2 linked regions of the Notamacropus eugenii genome follow. The protein of the gene in region 1 interacts with the protein of each later gene in a biochemical or structural test. Links are inferred from orthologs where the notes say so. Each region holds a gene or a part of one and is shown in the gene's direction. Other genes may lie near its edges. The genes, in order: SPTBN2 and ACTR1A.

What was found.
Region 2: the proteins of SPTBN2 (region 1) and ACTR1A form a complex in vitro, tested with the Homo sapiens proteins (2 studies listed by BioGRID). The link is inferred for Notamacropus eugenii from reciprocal best matches to the Homo sapiens genes SPTBN2 and ACTR1A.

Annotation. Positions count from the first base shown.
Region 1 is NC_092873.1:19,250,035-19,259,471, reverse strand, and holds the start of SPTBN2 (spectrin beta chain, non-erythrocytic 2), read left to right. Parts: upstream 1-5,740; 5' UTR 5,741-5,966; coding exon 5,967-6,135; intron 6,136-8,794; coding exon 8,795-8,946; intron 8,947-9,297; coding exon 9,298-9,437. UniProt on the Homo sapiens protein: Probably plays an important role in neuronal membrane skeleton.
Region 2 is NC_092872.1:180,689,283-180,699,524, reverse strand, and holds the start of ACTR1A (alpha-centractin), read left to right. Parts: upstream 1-6,383; 5' UTR 6,384-7,374; coding exon 7,375-7,422; intron 7,423-10,242. Other genes in the region: SUFU (suppressor of fused homolog), read right to left, coding at 3,492-3,691. UniProt on the Homo sapiens protein: Part of the ACTR1A/ACTB filament around which the dynactin complex is built. The dynactin multiprotein complex activates the molecular motor dynein for ultra-processive transport along microtubules.

The DNA of each region.
Region 1 (9,437 bases):
GGCCTTCCTCTATCCTCAGACCCCTGGGACCCCGAGGGGGTGCTCACTGCTTCCAGATGCTGTGTCCAGGATCCCCTGGCCTCTGCTGCCCCACTCCAGGAAAGGGAAGCCAGTGTTCAATGGAGTCTGTGAAGGGGATACAGAGCCCTGATCTGCCCACCTGCTTAGGGGCTGCAGTCACACATTTATCTTCAAATCTGTCTTCATGGGTCCTCTGGCCAGAGAAGCCAAGGGCTCTAGTGTTGCACTTAGTGACACCTGCCCTGAATTTGGAGACTGGCCCACAGTTTGAATCCAGTTTCAGCCACTTAACAACTGTGTGGTCTTGGGCAAGTCATTTCTCCAGTATGGGTTTCAGTTTCTTCATCTGTAAAATGGGAAGATCTCCAAGGCCCTTTTTAGCTCTGGATCTGTGCTGTTGGGAGGGGGGGCAGGTACAGGATAACGTGCATAGAGTAGAAAATCCAAGATGGTTTATTGAGGGGAGCATTCCTTCCACCAGGGAGAATAAAGAAAGGCTTCTTAGAGGGGGAAATAGGAGAGTGTAAGGCAGGGAACAGAGCTTTCCAGGCCTGGGAGAAAATCAGGACAAAGGTGAAAGGTCCTTGAAGAGTCCTGCTCTCCTGTAAATAGCCCTACACCAGGGCCAAGCAGGCACCCATTGGAACAGTAGATCAGAGAGAAACTTCAGTATGCTCCTCTGTCTTGCCCTGACCTGCACAAGAAGGCAACCCAGAGCTCTAGGTGCTTGGATATAGAATTTTCCAGGGGCGTGTGTGTGTGTGTGTGTGTGTGTGTGTGTGTGGAGGGGGTCAGGTAAACAGGGTCTAAAACCCTGTGCGGGTTCCCACTAAGGGCAGCCCACCTGATCTCTGGCAGGCTTTCAGACCTAGCCTGTCAGGACAGCAAGTGGGGTTCAGAGCCAACCCCCAGTAGGTCACTGGGCCAAGAAGACAGGAGTGATCAGAGCATGCATGCCTTGGAGGAGATCTGAAATCGGAGTGATCTTTAGCTTCCAATTGGGATCTGTCAAAACAGTAGCAGGGCAGGGGATGAAGCAAGAAGGAGACAAAAAGCCACAGCCAGAACTCATCCTAGGCAATCAGAAGACACAGGTAGAGTCATGGATTGGGGAAGGGGTGGGGCCTAATTTCAACCACCCCCTCCAGACTCGGGGGTGGGGTGGGGGCACAGAACCAAACATGCAAACAGGGCTTGTCTATCCATTCTAACAGTAGGTGAAGGGGTGGATGTTTCTCATGACTAAATAACAGATACCCAAGAGGTAAATCCAAAAGAAGACAAGGCAGGTACCCGTGAGAATAAATAGCTTAGAACAGAAGACAGAACACCTTAACCCTAAGAGAATGAAGCGAACAGAACTCTGTGATTCGATGATACAGCAAGAAATGTTTGGGTCAAAAGATTGAAAAATTGGAAGAATTTGTAAAGTATCTACCATCAAAATCAACTGACCTGGAAAACAGGAAAAACAATTGAAGAATCATCAGACTCCCTGAAAATCATGACTTTAAAAAACCCTGAATGTTTCAAGAAATCACAAAAGAAAACTGCCCAGATCTGTGAGAAGAGGGCAAATTAAAACCAGAACCCACTGGTCACCTCCTAAAAGATTCTCCAAATTGTAAACAACTAGGAATATCATAGTCAAAATCCACAGCTTCCAGGTTTAAAACAAAATACTGGAAACAGCTAGCATTGAGTTCAAGTGCCAAGGAAGTGCAGTCAGGGTTACAAAAGACTAAGATACATGTACTTCAAAGGAGAGAAAATCTTGGAACACGATGTTCTGAAAGAAAAAGGCATGGTGGCAGGAGACAGATATCACATAAAAGGAATGGCCATAGGCCAATGGCCTGGCATGTAGAGAGTATGAAGAAGAGGTTTGTGTAAATGAGCCTGGAATGAGAAGCTGGGGCCAGGATGTAAAGAACATTCAATGCCAAATAGAGGTGTTTGCATTTTGTCCTAGTGGCAACAGGGAGTTAATGAAGCTTCTTGAACGGAAATAAAGCTTTTGGTTGTGTAGCTGTAACCTGAAGGACTCCACCAGAGTCGCTTTACTTTAAGACTGTGCCTAGAGGTTTGGTTGTTTCCCTTTCAGGCTTCATAACCAGATAGATCCATCATGTGAATCCTCCTTCCTGTCAATCTTGTGTCTCCACCCTTTCCTCAGAGTGTTTCAACCTTGCCTGATGTTGAGTTCTGTGTCAATATTTACAGATCAAATGCAGAGGGCACAGCCCTAGGACATATGGTGGATTTGGGGGAGAAAAGGCACTCTTCAGTCTCTCCCCCCTGCCCAGGCTTGGGTAGCCCTCTGCCGACAGATGAAAAAGCAGTCCCTTCACTCAAGCTGCTGCCAAAACAACCTTGCCACTAACCTGTAACCATGGAGAGGGTCAGGTTCTGACAGAGAGTCACCTGTCTCTGTACATGTTGTTGTCTGATATCCTTCCAACTTCTCACACAGCCTGTTCTCATGATTAGTCCTTTCTTTTCCCCAAGCCTCAAGAAAGTCTTCCCCTTACTCCTTTCTGTTTTCTGCCACCCTGACTCTAACTTCTCGTGTTTGGGCAGCCTTAGAGCAATGCTCACTCCTCACGGAGGGACAAATAAGGTCCCAGACTCAGGGTTCCAGGGAGACCCAAGGTTCCCCCCATGGAGCTGAATTTGCAAGGCTCATCCTGACAGAAAGCTTTCTCTGGTTCCCCTTAGTTGCCAGTGTGTACTGCTGCTGCTCTCGCCGTCTTCCTCAGATCATCTTGTCTTTATTTTTCTGGGGACCTCTATCTCTGGTAGACTGTCAGCTCCTTGAGGTCAGGCCCTGTTTTATCTTTGAGCCCTAGACTCTAGCACAATGCCTGCTATGCATTAGACATTTAATAAATGTTTGAACTGAATTGATGGTTTATGCTGGCCTTTTGGAGGCACTATCTGATGAACTAGTGGGGGTGGCAGAAATTCCCATGTTTGTTTTGAGGAGAAAATATTTGTTTGAGTAAAGTCCTGAATAACCCTGGCAGGACCACAGAGATGGTCACACTGTTTACTGATTAGCTTCATAGGCCTGGGATCCTGGAAGAGACCACATAGCCTGATTACTGAGGAGGAGTCCTGTAGCTCTCAAAGAGAGGGTCACATTAAAAAAAAAAAGTTTTTACTTGTCATTGGGGGAAAAAATATTTTTAAAAAAAAACAAAAATGAAAGAAAGGACCACAAATTCCCCACTTTTGTTTTGATGGACTCACAGGTCCATCAGTCTCTGGGAGCTGGGCTTTCTCCAATCCCAAAAGCTTCCTGTAGGCTCTTCTTTCCCCTGCTCTGGACTGCCGTTAAAGCCACTGACTGCTCTGTCCCTCACCTTCTGCCACAAGCTGTGTGCTGTGCCAGCCTAGGCCTCTGTATCTCTTCTCTCACTTCCAAACTCCCTGGTCTTGCCACGGCACTGCCACCTCCACCATCCCAGTCCCACCCTATGCCACCCCATTGGCACCGTTGTCTCAGAAGTGATATCTTGTCTTTATTTCATACTAGCAACTAAGCAAATGAGTCCAGTTTGGTAATGATGATAAAATTCCCATGAACACAGTACTTAAGATTTAAAAATGGAGAGTAGATGAGGAATGAACAGATATGGGAGATACAAATTTAAAGATTAACTGATTAATTATTTATTATAATAATGATTCAGCTGTGGCCGCCAACGTCCTCAGTCCTATCCAGTGGGTGTGATTTTATCATGGAAATGGCATTAAAGAAGAGGCCTGACCACCCACTCAGCTGCTGCCCCCGAGGGCCGTGGCACTTCTCCATATGAGACCTTCTCAGGGGTGTGCTGACTCCCCGTTAGACTGTCGGACTTGTCGCCTCATATCTCCAGTGCTAAGCATCTAGTGAGGGCTTAATAAATGCTTTATTTCTTGCTCATACTCCCCTTGCCCCCTTCTTTCTCTTACCAGATTGGGTCAGCTATGGGCTGGCCTCTGTAGGGGATGGAGTCAGGAAGACCTGGATTCAGATCTTTCCTCTGACAAGTCTCTTCATCTCTCTGAGGCTGTCTCCCGACTTGTGGAAGACAGCCGACTCCCCAGGATTGCTGCAAGGCTCACGTCAGGCGCAGTGTGTGAGTTGTCATCTCTAACTGTCCCCACAGGCCTGTACCTCCGCCATCATGAGCAGTACCCTGCAGTCACCCACAGACTTTGACAGCTTGGAGATCCAAGGCCAGTACAGTGATGTCAACAACCGCTGGGAGCTGCCTGACGTTGACTGGGACAATGAGAGCAGCTCGGCCAGGCTCTTTGAGCGCTCCCGGATCAAGGCTCTGGCAGGTGGGTTTTTGGTTATCTTTCCTCAGAGGGGAGAAGGGGTAGAAAGCTGGAAGCTGACCGTGCCGCTCTAGTGGCGTTTTGGGAAGACAAAGAGCCGACCTCTAAGAGGGTTCTCACAAGAGGCAGTCCCCAGATGCTGCCCACATCCAACCTCTTAGGACGCTGGCGTCCCCAGCTCTATCCCCTTGCATAGACCAAGAAGCCTTGCTGGCGAGCATGGGGAGGACCAAGCCCTCTGCCTAGCTCTGGGGCCTGGCCTTTCTCCCTTTCTTTTTCAGCCCCTGACTGTTTCTACCTTGATTCTGCTAGGTTCCTCACCTCATCTCCCCACCTGATCCATTATCCCTCTGCCTGTCCCTGCTTCACATGCCCTGGGCCTGCCTGCTGCCTCTTCTTTCTGCCTTTTCTCTGATGTACTCTGACTGCCCCTACCCTCCCCTTCAGCCCCTGCCCTCCCCTCCCTCTCCTCCAAACACCCACAGACCTGTCAGACGGGCCCTGCTGCGTTCTTGGGCCAAGTTGTCATGACAATGAGAGCATGCTACCTGACAGTGCCAGACCCCAGCCCCTATACCCCGCCATTTCCTCATCTGACTGGCCCAGTTTCCCAGGCCTTCTACAGGAGACCTTCTCATGGGAGGCTTGAACAGTCAGGGAAAGGGTCAAGTCCAAGGATCACACTGTGGGAATCGCTCCTTGGGGTATCCCTTGGGCCACCCTCCATCCCTGCCCCTCTGCTTATATCTGAGCAGTGCAAAAAGAAAGGTCTGGGAGAAGACCGCATGGATGGGGAAGGCTTTGGTTCTCCCAGGAGGTGGGGGAGCAGGGGGAAGGAAGAAAGAGAGGCTGGCTGTCCCAGGCTCCTTTGCTGTCTGTCTACAGGGGAGTGGCCCAAAGTGTGAGGGCCTCAGGCCAGGGCAGGGCTCTGCCAGGGCAGACAGCTGGGTGGAGCAGGAGCCACAAAGTGGTGTGTGTGCCTATGGGGGGATCCTTCCCCCAAGGCCTCGGGAGGACATTGGTACCCTGGCCGGAATATGGGGGTCTTGGAGTGCTCACAGTTCCCTCCCCTTCCCCATTGTGGAAGCCTCAGGAGCAGAGCTAGCCAGTGACCTGGGAAGGGGGTCCTCAGGGCCACCAAGAGAGGTCCATCTTTCATCTGCCAGCACCAGGCCAGAAAGTGGGAGTCTCAGAACCCTCTCCCACTTCCTCTCATTCGGGGTCTCCTCAGACATCTCAGACTCTCCCAGTGAGGAGCATGGAGGGTGCTCTGAGATCCCTCCTCCCCCGCAGGGCCTGGCCCTGCCCCAGCCCCTTTGCCCCGCCTCCTCCCCTCCCCCGCCGCTGTCCAACCTGTTTGTCTGGAGCGTCCCCTGGCTCTGCCCCTGCCTGCCAGACAGCTCAGCCAGGTGTGCCCCCTTCTGCCTGGCCCTGCGACAGCACAGCAGCAGTGCCAGAGCTTGGCGGCTCGGAAGTCCCCCGAGTCCTCGGGCCCTGCCACCCCCTGCGTCTGGACCCCTGGCTGCCCCATCCCCATAGGGCTGACCGTGAACTTGGGCCCCTGGCTGGGGGAGATGGAATCTGGGCTCTCGACTCTGTAGGAAGCAGCAGACATGAATGGGAACGGGCTCGTGGGGAACGGTTTCAATGGGGCAGGGGAGCCCCACTGTGAGGCCCTGGAGGGGACTCAGCGCCCAGGGAGCCCCCTGCTCTCCCCTGCTGCCTTCGTTAACTCTGCCCAGTATGCCAGCGTATTGGAAGGACGGTTCAAACAGCTTCAAGGTGAGGGTCCCCAGGCAGGAGGGCGTGTGTGTGTGTGTGTGTGTGTGTGTGTGTGTGTGTGTGTGTACAGATCTGGGGGGCAGACCCTGACAGGAGCTGGGCTGGGTCAAAGGGAAGAGGGACTGGGTTAATTGGAAAGAAAAGGAGAGGAAGGGGGAAGCTTTTATTAAGCGCCTGCTGTGTGCCTTACACTATGCTAAGTACTTTACAAATACCATTTCATCTGATTGCAAGGACAGGTGGGGGTTGTCAGTGGGGAAGGACAATAGCTTGGTCCAGTGACTGGTGACAAAAGCGGAGGGCAAGAAAGCACCTTGTATGTATGTGTGGGAGGGAGACTTGGGAGGACTCAAGGCACTGCTGTGGGGAAGCCCGAAGGATGGAGGGCCCACTGAGTGGGCTGGGGTGTGTATGTGTGTAAGGGTGAGGGTGTGTTTCTGTTCTGTATGTAGGTGGCCAAATGTGAGTGAGAAGAAAGGGGGTCATGGAGAATTTAGGGTTGTGTGTGGGTGTGCGGGTGTCTGTCTGTGTGTGTGTCTCTATGTGTCTGTGTGTGTCCATGTGTCTAAAGCAGGGGTGAGGCACATGTCTAGAGGGCCTTCATATCCGATTCACCAGAGGTGGTCTCTGTGAGCCTTGGGCGCAGTCTGACATCTGTGTACTTGGAGTTCTGGGTGTGTCTGTGGGCCTAGGAAGGTTCCCAGTGTATGTAGATTTGCTGGTGAAACAGGGCTTTGGCTCTGCCCCTCCTCCTTCCGGACCCATTGGTTTTGTGTGGCTTTTTCCTCTCCTTTAGTAAACTCACTTGGCCCTGACCCAGAGAGGCGAGGTTGGCTAAGGACAGCTGGGGCTCAGAACAAAAAAGGGAAAATGGGTGCGGGGGGGGGGTGGGGGAAGGCAGGGGTCTCTGTCAGACTTTGGTCAGTGTCTCCTCTCAGGGCTCTAGTTGGCATATGGATGGGGTCAGGAGACAAGGATAGAGATGGATGGGTTTTCATGGCTCTGGGAGCAGAATAAACAGGACCATTGATTTAGAGGGGAAGGGCCCTCAGAGGTCAGCCACTGGTCTAGCCCCACCCTTTTATAGAGAGGGAAACTGAGGCTCAGCAGTGAAGGTCAGAGAGCCAGAAATGACAGGATCCCAGGGCACATGCTACTTCTGAGATCATGGGGACTCGGACTGTGGAGAAGGAAACCAGAATGACCCTTGACCTTTACTCTAGACTCTTAAAGACAAGGAGGGACCCAGGAAATTGAGATCGATCCTAGTGACAGCTTGTGTGTGTGTGTGTGTGTGCGTGTGTATGTGTGTGACCCAGCAGAGATGACACCTTGCCCCCATCCCCTTGGAGGAGGGCTTCCTGGGAAGGAGAGTTTCTGAGGAGCCCCATGTTGCCCCTTGCCATTGGTCATCCCCAGGATGGCCACGTCCCAGGGCCGGAGAATCCTCTCGAAGACCCTGGCTGAGCACGTAGGGGATCCTCTTTGGAACGTCTCTGGGGAAAAATGAGGTTGTGGCTTCTGTGACCCTGTTTGACAACATCCCTAATGACTGGCTGCCCCTTATAATTTAGAGCCTAATAGCCCCCTTTGGTGGGTGCTTTGAGGTTTGCAAAGTACTTTCCCTAGATTATTTCATCTGAGCTTTACGCCAACCCTTGCATCAAGGGGAGAAAGGTGTGATTATCCCCATTTTACAGATAAGGAAACTGAGGCTCAGGAAGAGGAATGACTTGCCCAAGGTTGCACAACTCTTGAAGCTGTCTCAGGGAGATTTGAACCCAGGACTCTGCTGACACCAAGTGCGCCACTTTTCACGCATTGTCCCCCTGCCCTTCACGTATTTACAGACTTACTACATTTCTCTTGGTCTCCCTTTGAATTTCCCCTCCCTGCCAAGAGGCTTTAGCCTCTCTCATGAAGCTTATTTCTCACCCTTTCAGTCATTTCTGTTTCTTGAGATCGATGTTTATTAAGCACCTGCTGTTTGCCAGGCACCACGCATGACAAAAATGGAAGGCTTCTGGTCTGTGGGGTGGGGGTGGGGGATGGGCCGTGGGGGGACACAGTGTATACACAAGCACATGCAAAGTAATTTTGATGGAATGAAGTGATGGACTCCAAAGTCAAGAGTCCTGGGTTCAGATTTGGAGTCTGTACTGACCACTACATGACCGACCTTGGTCAAGTCATTTTACCTGATGACCTTTAAGACTCCATCCACTGCCTGTGCTGTGGTGAACCAGAGTCAGGTGGGCAGTAGGGACCAGGTGAGGTGAGCATTGAGCACTGCATGCTTGTGACGAGTCCGTGGCCCTCTCTGGGCCACAGTTCCTTTATCTGTAGTGATGGGGTTGGGTCTGCCAGCCCAAGGTTCCTTCTGGTTCAACTGCTTCGAATCCTATGAATGAGCTGAGGCTCCCAGGATCTGAGGTCATGGTGGGGGGGAGGCGGGGAGAATGGCCAGTCTCTTGGCACTACTCGCCTCTCTCTTCCATAAGCTCCACGAGCCCAGGCTGGGCTGTCAGGTATCCCTTCTCCTGACTCTCTCTGCTGACTCTAGGATCGTTCCCCTGAGGGATGGCCTGGGAGCAGTGGTTTAGAAGTCGGGAGTCAAGGGTGGGATGGGCCACGCTGACCCCATGTTGGTGCCCTCTAGATGAGCGAGAGGCTGTGCAGAAGAAAACTTTCACCAAATGGGTAAACTCCCATTTGGCAAGAGTCACGTGCCGTGTGGGAGACCTGTACAGCGATCTACGGGATGGACGCAATCTGCTGAGGTTGCTTGAGGTGCTTTCTGGAGAGACGTTGGTGAGTGGTAGGGATGGGGCCCAGGAGTCCCCAGGGGATGGCCCTTGGAGAGAGGGCAGCGCCAGAGAGAAAGTGGACAGCAAGGGACAGGAGGCCCCCAGATGGCAAGGGTGCCCACAAGAACAGCGGCCCCATTGAGCCAAGCTCCTTCCCCACACGGGCCAAAATCTGTTAATTCCCTGGGGAATCTTAATCTGCCGCCAAACCCCACATCAAATCCCAGCTTTGGTCCCAGACATTCCTTTTGCAAATGAATGCCAGGGGGTGGATGGAGAGGGACCGGGTGGGTGCTGTACATGCTCCAGACGAGAGGACTTTGTCCTCCATCCCCCAACCTTCCTGTGCCACTAGCCCAAACCCACCAAAGGGCGCATGCGCATCCACTGCCTGGAGAATGTGGACAAGGCCTTACAGTTCCTGAAGGAGCAGAAGGTGCATTTGGAGAACATGGGCTCCCATGACATTGTGGACGGGAACCACCGCTTGACCCT
Region 2 (10,242 bases), on another chromosome or scaffold:
TACAAAATAGCCACAGGCACAGAGGTATATAGACAAGAAAGTGCAAGAGCTTGAGGAATGACAATCAGGTTAGTTTGTCAAGAATGTAGAATACATGAATGGGAATAATATGAAATAAGCTTGGAAATGTTGCCTGGAGTCAGATTGTAAAGGATCTTAAAAGCCAAACTGAGTAGTTTATTTTATCCTAGAAACAACAGGAAGTCATTAAAATTTCATGAGTATGTAAGTGACATGGTCACATGTGTGCTTGAGGAAGATTATGGTGGCAGCTGTGTAGAAGATGGATTGGAAACAGAAAAGATTGGAAGCTAGGAAATCCAATTACAAAGCTGTTTCGATAGTCAAGTTCAAGGTGATAAATAAGGACCTGAAGTATGATGGCAGCCATTTGAACGGAAAGAAAAGGATGGATGTGAGAAATACTGCGGAGGTAGATTCAAAAACACTTGGCAGTTAATTAGTATGAGGGTGAAGAAAAAGATGATTGTGATGTTGAGGTTTTAAACCAGGGTGACTAAAAAAAATGGGGCCGTCCTCAACAGAAACTGAGAAAATAACGATAATGCACAGGGGGCAGCTCCACAATGGCAAAGAATGTGTCTTATTTAATTCCCCCAAAACTGAATGAAGTGTTCTCTACAAAGTAAGTAAGCAATCCCAACTCCAAACACATATATATTTGTTGAAGAAAAAAGGCAATATTCTCACAACCGATTCTAGTCCTTTCTATGGGCTTTATTCTGTACATTTGATACACATCTGGATCGGCTGAGTAAGAAAAATATTTGCCCTTCCCAACGAATCAACCAGCCCTCTTCCCTCTGTAACACTGTCCTACTCTGAAATCTCATTGGGTGAAGAACTAAAGTACGAAGTTTCATGTTTCCCATGAAGTCCTTTAATCACATCAATCACAATGCATTAATATATAAAAGCATAGTTTAAATTTTTAATTAAGTTACCAGAGACCTGATATGAGCCTCAGGCCTCTTTAAAAGAAACTCAGCATAGATACCTATAAAAAAGTTTGTTAGTCAATAAGCATTTATTAAGTGCCTACTATATGCCAAGCACATGATAAATATTTGAGGATACAAAGACGGGCAAAAAACTGTCCCTGCTATCAAGCAACTCACATTCTAATGGAGGAAAAAACATGCAGAGAAATAAGCACAAGCCAGCTATAGCCAGGATAAACTGGAGAGAGTACCAAAGGGAAGTCATGCATTAGTAACTAAGGAGGACTGGTAAAGGCTTCTTGCAGAAGGTGGGACTTTAGCTGAGATCTGAGGGAATTCAGAATACAAAATGAGGAGAGAGAGTATTCCAGTAAAAATGCCCAATGTCAGGAGATGAAATGTCTTGTTTGAGGAACAGCAAAAGGATCTTTTCAGAGAAGAGTAAGGTGTTAGATTTGAAGTCAGATGGCCTGGGTTCAAATTCTGCCTAATATTTCCTAGCTAGGTGACCTTAGGCAAATCACCTAATTTCTCTCATCCTCAATTTGTTCCCCTGTAAAACAGAAGTTATGATATTTTCACTAACTACCCTCACAGGGTTGTTGCAAAGAAAATATAAGCCAGAAATAGCTATAGAAATATGAATCACTGTAATATTATTTAAAGGTACTTTTATACTTCAGCTAAAGAACAAGTTGTAAGCCCTAAAGAGATGAGAACAATGCCTTAACAACCAGGGAAAAAACTTCCCTTTCCAAAAGAACAAGTGGCCAGGTCTCATTATCTACTGCTTAGCCAACTTTTGAGGCTGCCTGGCTGTAGACCACTTGCTCTAACATGGAAGTCCACCAGCCACTGACCTGCACAATGGTGTTTTAAAGGGAAATGCTAGGGTATTTGGTGAGGAGAAGTGCTCAATCCCAAAGGGAAAATTGAAGACAAATGATTCTGAAATGAAACTCACTTTACCTAACTTCCCCTTTTTCCAGGCAACTGATTCCAGGGCCACAAGGCCAGCAGCTGTCCCAAGAGGTCAGTTTCCAGTGATCTGCCCCTTCTTCCTGTCCCAAGACTCCATGGACATGAACTGAGTGAGGGTCTGCCTTAAAGGGACAGTTATAAGCTATAAAATAATTCTTATGAAACAAATCTTTGTACCAATACAATATGTTTTCTAGCTAACACAACAGTCTCCTTGCCAGAATCTATTGGTAGTTACCAGTTGGCTTAACATAAGAATCATAGAATGAGAGTCAGAAGGCATTTTAGGGGCCATTCAATCTAACTCTCACCTGACTAGAATCCCCTCTATAATATTCTCTTGAAGACCTTAAGCCAGCAGAATTTCCTCTCACTTCTGTATAGGCTTAATTGTTAGAAAGTTTTTCCTTAAATAAAGCATGAATCCACTTCTACTCTTCGACCCCTCAGTGCTCCTAATATTTGTGGCCTTTAGAGCTATGTGACAGCCCTTCAAACATTCTACTCCACTGTTCTCTTATGGCCAAACACCCCCAATGCTTTAGGGCAATCAAAAATCATTTTTTAAAAAATCAAAGAATTTGGAGCTGGAAGAGATTTTGGAGTTCATCTAGAAGACCTTGCAAAAGAGCAAACTTTGGCCCAGGGAGCTTGAGTGATCTGTCAGTGAAAAGAGAACGAGCCAAGTGTCAGATAGAGCTAAAAACCCAGGTCTCTCAGTACAGAATTCTTTTCAAGTCCTCCTGAGCGAGATAACCCAAGCTGCGCCTGAAAAGATCATGCACGAACCTTTTCCTAACCTTCAGCCCTTTTAAATTCATGTGAATTCCTCGTCCCCTATGTTTGTCCCTGGTCTCAATCTGTTTTCCTCCTCTAGGTCAAAAGAAATGAAGACTGTAAAGGCAAAAGAGGCCGTCAAAGGAACGACTTTTCAGAGAAAATTTCCAAAACTTAAAGGGGAGGGGAGTTTAAGAATCAAAAGACTTCAAACGCAAAACCTGTCCACTACTAACAGGTCCTTCAGCTCACCCTGGCTCCCCTTCTCTAACCTCCACTCCCAGCCGGGCATAGCCCTTCTCCTTTCCCCCTCCCTTCCCCCCATCTCTAAGAGGGACTCCTTCCAAGCACTCGCAAACAGGCAAACTTTCCCCCGAGCCAGGCAGCCACCCCCTCTCAACTCCAGCCTCCAGCTTGGGTCCGACAATAACGTCCTGTCCTTCCCCAACCTGGCTCCCCCTCTCGCCTCCCCGCCAGGGTCTGCGAGCTCCCCACGGCCCGCCTCCGGCTCCAAAGACCCCTTTTCTTCCACAGCCCCGCAGCCCCAGGCACCCCCCCCTCCCCAAATTTCCATGAGCTCTTTGGTCCTCGAGCCCGGTTAACCCCTTTGTCTCCGCGGTCCTCGGAGGCTCCAAAGTTAACCCTTTCCCTCCCGAGCCCCGCGTCGCCTCGCTGGCCCCTCCCCCCCGCCCTTCGGCTTAACCCTTCCACGCCCGGCCGCGCTGCCCCCGCCCCCCTCGGCTAACCCTCCGCTCCGCCCCCCGGGCTCACCAGTACTTCACGATGGCGGTGACCTGCAGCGGGTTGGGCTGCTCGGGGTACAGGCGGCGGCACTCGCCGTAGATGGCGTGTAGCCCCGGGGGAAAGAGTGAGGCGAAGGCCGGGGGCGCGGCGGGGCCGGGGGCCGGAGCCGGGGCTGGGGCCGGGGGCGCGGCGGGGCCGGGGGCGCCGCTAGGCCGCAGCTCAGCCATCGGGGCGGCGGGGGCCGGGGCCGGGGCGGGGGGCGGAGGCTGGCACTGACGGACACACTGGCGGGACGGCAAGCAGAGTTCGTGGGTGCGACGCCCTGAGGGCAGCAGCGAGGTCCGGACTCCGCGCCTGCGCACGGCACCCCCGTCCACCCAGGCCGCCGCCGCTGCCGAGTCTGCCAGTGGGGCGCCGCGGGGCCGCCGGGCGCTCTTTGGGGCGGGGCTCCAGCGCCCGCTCTCCTGGAGATTATTGGTCGTCATCTATATCAGTCACAGGCTGGAGGGCGTGGCCTGACAATAGGCCCGCCCCCACCGTCCAGCGGCCGGGGAGGGTGGAGGGGAGAAAGTGCTGGGCTAGCCCTGGCCATCCGGAGGTGTTACTTGAGTGCGTGCGGGGCTCTGGGCATCCCTGTGAGACGAGCGACAGGACCGCGGTTCTGTTCCTTCCCCCTTGGTGCCGAGAAGGTTCTGCCTCAGCGGACGGGGTCATTCATTCATTCGTCTGCGCGGTACTGACTTTTTTAAAGACGGTTGAGACTTGGTTTCCGTACCTACCCCACCGACGTCTGTGGACAAGATCCAGGGGATGTAGGTTACCTGCCAGCTGCCACTTTCCTGTGTTCTTTTCCGTGGGTTGGGTGGAAGACTTTAAACTCCGCACAGATACATCATGAAAGCCAAAGGCAGCGCGGTGGACTAGAACGAGCGCTGGTGTCAAAGACCCTGGCACGCTCCTCACCCTGGGCAAGGCGCTTGACTTTTAGCTGCTCCCAGGGCGCTCTCAGAAATCCTTCAGTTACAGTAGCATTCCTTATCTGCATGGCTGAGACAGTGTCCATAACTGCGGCTCCTCTCCACAGATAGTCAGAGATAGGAACCAAAGAATAATAATAAGACCTGCTTTGGGAGAAGTAAAGCCCCCCTCTAAATAGTTATCCACAAGTACTGTGTGCAGATAGGAATTTAATAATTTTTTTTTATTATGGTAACATTCCCTTCTGTTATTTCTCTTCTGCATTGAAAAGTTACTGAGGAATCCCCGCTGGCCCCCATAATCGTTGCCCTCTGTATGTGGGGAGAGTCTTAAAAGTTTCTAAGATATCAGCTTTACAGATTTTTTAAAAATCACAATAACCTTATAGGCACGCTATTGTTTACTCAAGTAATCTTGAATGTAAAATGAGACAGCCATAGGCATTAATAGAAAGGAGGGGTTTCCAAAGGGCAAGTATGATTAACTGAAAAACACCAATAATTGAGAATGAGTATCCTAATAGTAATTCACATTTGTATAATGCTTTAAAGGGAGGTAAGTAGCAAGCATTTGTTAGGTACCTCTTGTTAAGGGCTTTATAAATATTATTGAATTTGTTAAGACTTACAAAACACTCTCCCTATAACAACCTTGTGAGGCAGATAGAACAAGTATCATACTCATTTTATAGACATGGAAACTCAGTAAGTTTCAGATAGGGTAAATGACTTTTCCACAGCTGCATGGCTTGGTAACTTGCAAAGCCAAGAACAGTCTGCATCTCTGTTGCTTAACCTGTCCTTGTTTCCATTTTCACTTAAGGATATAATTCTGACTATCAAAAGGAATGAAATGATGCAAGAAACTCTGGGTGCCTTGAAGGAAAGTTCATTGGCATTTGATTGGACATTTATTAAACACCTATACTCAAAACTATGCTCAGCACTGGGGACATAAAAACCAAAAAAGTCATAGTCACCATCCTCAAAAAGCATACATTTTACTGGAGAGGATACAGTATGTACACAAGTAATTCTAATTTGTGGTACACTGAAGAAGGACAGTAAGCATATCAACAACCGGGGAAAATCAGAAAAGGCTTCAAGAAGGAGGCAGAGGCTGAACTGACCTTGAAGGACAAGGACAATAAGGACTGAGAAAAGGGATGAAAAGAAAATGCATACCACTGATGGGGTACATGGAGGTAGAAGACAAGGGATCACCTTTAGAAATATTTAGAACTTAGTTTGTGAAGTTAGAGTCTGAAATGAGAGCTTACAATAGGGAAGGCCTTAAATGTAACCTGGAGTTTGTATTTTATCTTTGAAGCCATATACAGCCAGATAAGATTTTAGAGCAGAGAAGGGGCATGATCAGACCTGAAACTAGAACCAAAAATTCTTGTGGAAAGAACTTCAGATATCATTTAGTTCAATTTATTCATTGTACATATGAATCTGAGACCTGGAGAGGTTAAATAATTTGTTCCAAGAAAGTGAGGCAGAAATGCTTTTACTAGTGCTGGCTATTCAATAACAGCTGTGTGATTCTGGGAAAATAATTGAACCTCTCTTTTACCATCTGTAAAATGAAGGATTTTAACTAGGTATTCCAGTGCTCTTCTAATTCTAAAAGGCCTATCAAAAATTATCACAAATGACAACAACCTATATAGATGGACTAAACAAAGTATAACTAGAAGAGGTCTGTCCTGATGCAACACAGGACTATGGATGCTGAGGGACTGGTTCTCAAGATACCTTAAAAAAGGGAGAGGATGCCAGAGGGAGGAGAGGGAAAAAATGGGCATTTTTTACTACTGAAAGTAATTATTTTAAAAAATCAGTAACTGAAAACCCATATACTTACAGAAATCTGTGAGAATTACAAACACATACCATATCCTTGATGAAAGGTATGAGAAAGAGCAGTCAAGTTTTCAAAAATTATGTTTTATAACAGACCACATCTTTATAGTCACACAATTAACTGAAAGGTACAGAGAATACAAGCTCCCACCGCGCTTGTGTTTGTCGAATATTTAAAAAAAAAAATTTGGTTTTCTAGAGCCAAACAGATCTTCGACAAAGCACAGCTCCATTTAGAAAAGTCAAACAAGATTCCTTGTATCCTTGTATCCTAATACACCTGTAGAGATTACCTCTGATGATGACTATCAGTGGACACGCTGGATTACCAAAGCTGGTCGGCATTGTCAGGAAGGATGTCCACAAAGTCTAAACGTAAGGTTTTAAAAGACGCTCGGGTTTGCAGATGACATGGTGCGAACTGTAGTACTACTACACCCCACCCCTAACCCCCACACGTTGCAAAACAAAAGATAGAGATATCAAACCGTGTAAAAATCGGAAAGGAAATGGACCCTACGAGTATCAAGAATGAAAGAAAAGACGTATAAAGCAAGAATGAAAAATAAGTTATTCCACCGTAGTGAAAAGTCCCTGGTATGTAGCGTATTTATTTATGAGAGGCCACAGACAAGTATCCAAGTACTTAGGCACACAGTCCCGCGAGACTACATGTCCCAGCATACATTTCGAACCCGCCTCATCAAAGACGGAATGGACTACAGATCCCATCATGCAACAACGGCAAACAATTCATGTCCCTTTCACGCTTCTCCAAGTAAACTACAAAGCCCAAAGAGCTGTGCGAAGGAAAGTCTAATACCCATCATGCAAAGCTTCGCTGGATTTTGAAAGAGTCTGAGAGATGTTTTCCCAGTAGGAGGGGTACCGCATAGTATATTGGGGACTGTAGTCTTCCGGAGGGTGAAGAGCAGCCCCTCCCGACTTCCTTGTCCCGGGGACAAGATTGCGCATGCGTAGCGGTGGTAGCAGCAGCAGCAGCAGCAGCAGCAACAGCGGACCCGGCTGGCAGTTTCTTCCTCCGGAGGAGAGACCCCTCTGCCATGGAGTCCTACGATATTATCGCCAACCAGCCTGTCGTGATCGACAACGTGAGTCTGGGTTTCCTCTTCCCCGAGCAGGGCCCGGCTATCTTAGTCCGAGGGTCCCCCGCCCTGGCCGCTGACTCTTTGTCACCGGCTCGGCCTGTCAGGAGGCTTTGGCGGTCCCCTTCTCCTTGAGAGAAGCAGTCCCTGGCCGGTCCATAGGCCAGCATCGCTAGGGTGGAGGTCGGAGGAGAGAAACACCCCATCTCTAGCCCCCCGGGTCATCGGGCCCTTGGCCTGAGGGGCCTCAACCGCTCTGTCGGCGCCCAGGGCCCAGCCCCTTCTCCAGTTCTGGTGACTCTATTGGTTCGGGTAGCTGTCCATCTCAACTAGTTAGTTCCGCCCCCTGGCTAGCCGGATGGGGCAGCGCTCTGAAGGGATTGGCTAGTTCCCCCGTCCATCCGATGGAATGCCGCAGGGTTTCCTCTTTCCGTGGGGCGGGGCGGGGCAGAAGGGAGTGTCAAGGATTGGCTCCCAGGACTCCTGTTGGTGAGACCAGTGGGACAGGGTTCCGCCCATGGGTGGAGAAGGGCCCGATTTTGTTCAGTCCTGGGCCTGGGCGGGGTGGGGACGTGGGAAGGCCGGACCCAGCCCCTGGGTGGGGTCGGATGGAGCTCCCGGGGAGTCTTGGTGGCTGTGAGCGAGTTTCCTTGGGCTCTGTTGTTTTTGTGGTCACTAATTATAATGCTGGTGTTACTGTATCAAGGGGTCAGAACACTCCTTCCTCCTGTGGAAAACCCAAACGGATCTTTAGTTTTGGGGAAGATCAAACTGTAGCCTTCCAGATGTACTTCTGGGTGTAGTGGATATATTCCCTGTGTGGAACCAGCGGCCAAAGATGTGTGGTGATCCCTGGGGTTCGTGGAAGCTCGTTACCTCATTAACCCTTTGATCGTGACCTTGGGTCTGGGTGACCCAAGGAAGTTTGTGTCATCCAGCTTTACTGTTCCCGTAGATCTGACTTAAAGGAGGGGATAATGGTAAGAAAGTGATAAGGCAGCCCAAGACCCCAGAGGGCCAAAAGCAAAAGAAGATTGCCTTCACACTGTAATTGCCCTAGTAGGGTTATCTCTCATTTTTGGATTTGGATTCTTGTGTCTGCTGGTCTCCTCCAAAAGTAACCGGTATATCTTCATCTTCTTTTTGCCCCCTTTGTAAAATGTCTAATTGTCAGCCTTTAGCAAATTGGCAACAATTTTTTAATTTCCTTAAGCAATGCTAGGGTCTAGAAACGGCAAACCCATCAGTTTTGACCTGATCCCCTGCTCTTTGGATTAATGTGTAATCCCAACTCCAACTCTTCCATTATTCTTTCTCTTATTATAAATGATAATTAAGTCACCAGGGCTTAGTTCACCCTTCTTCCTTTCCCTAATAACGTATTAAGTTGTACTTAAGAGTAACAATACTATTATGGATTTTGAAACTAGAAGACTCAGCTTTTGTCTTTTCACTGGGAAAACTTTCTAGTACATCTACTAAAAGTGAAATCTGAGAAAGCTGTCATTCATCTTTAGGACACCAAATACGCCACATTAAATTTAGATTTGAGATCTCAATGAATTCTTAGTGGTTGAAATTCTGAACTAATTTTTGGTGACATTAGCAGCAATTTTTGGCTTTCAGGATGAAGAGTAGAATGAGCCGTATTAGACAACTGAATCAGGTGTCTATTTTGACGAGATGTGTTTATTGATAGAAATGAGTCTCACAGTTTTAGCATTTTCCAAAGACACCAAAATCTGCTTCCTGGAAGCTAAGAATTCAGCACTGGTTAGAAGAAGGGATTAAGGAAGAGAAGAAACAACAGATATTTCATCAGCTCTTCTGGGTTAGGTACCACTGCTGTCTAACATATATTACCCCTGCTTGACACCACAGAAAGCTACATAAAATTAATGAGAACAAAATGAAATTAGTTGTGAAAGTATCAGTGAGGTGAGTATCATGAGTATTTGTAGTCACATGTTTCTATTAAACATAACCATTAATACTAAAATGAAGTAGAACAGTGTGGCAGAAAGCAAACTGGACTTGAGAGTTAAAAGACTTGGATTTTAGCCTCAGTTCTGCCACCAACTTTCTGTAGGACTCTGAGCAAGTCATTATTGTACTGTGGAAAGAGCATTAGATCTGTGGTAAGAAGGATCTGTGTTGAAATCTCACCTCTGAAATTTACTACCTATGTGACCTTGAACAAGGCAATGTAACCTACTTGGTCCTCAGTTTTCTCATGTGTAAAATGAGAAAGTTGGACTACAATGTGGCCTTTGAGTTCCCTTCCAACTCTAGATCTGTGATCCTTTTGTATGTCATTTCTCCTTTCTGGACCTCAGTTTCTAGTGTGTAGAATGTATAGACTGTATTACTATTATCTCTAAAAATTTTTTCAGCTCTAAAATCCTAGGATTCCTAATAGAGAAGCTCTGAGTATACAAGTGTGCTTGTGGACCACATTTTGGAAACAGTGTCTACTACAGGAATCACTGGTGCAAATAAATTTGCTTAAAAATTTAAAATAAAATTCTTTTTTCCGTTTTCTTTGGGTGAAAAGAGAACTTATTGCCTATCCATGATCATCTCCTCTCCCAAGTCCTTGGGAACTTAAGAACTCAAAGGTTACAGTTTACTTTCTAAAAGATCAAAGTTCTAAACAGTCTTGAAGTTGTTTTATCAGTCATGGTATACTGGAACAAACACAGCTTTAGTCTGAGGAGCTGAGTTTGAATCTTAGCCCTGCTTCTCACTTGCTGTGTGACTCTGGGCAAATCTTTTAACTTTTTTGCACTCTTCAGTATCTTTATCTGTAAAACGAAGGCTTTCAAC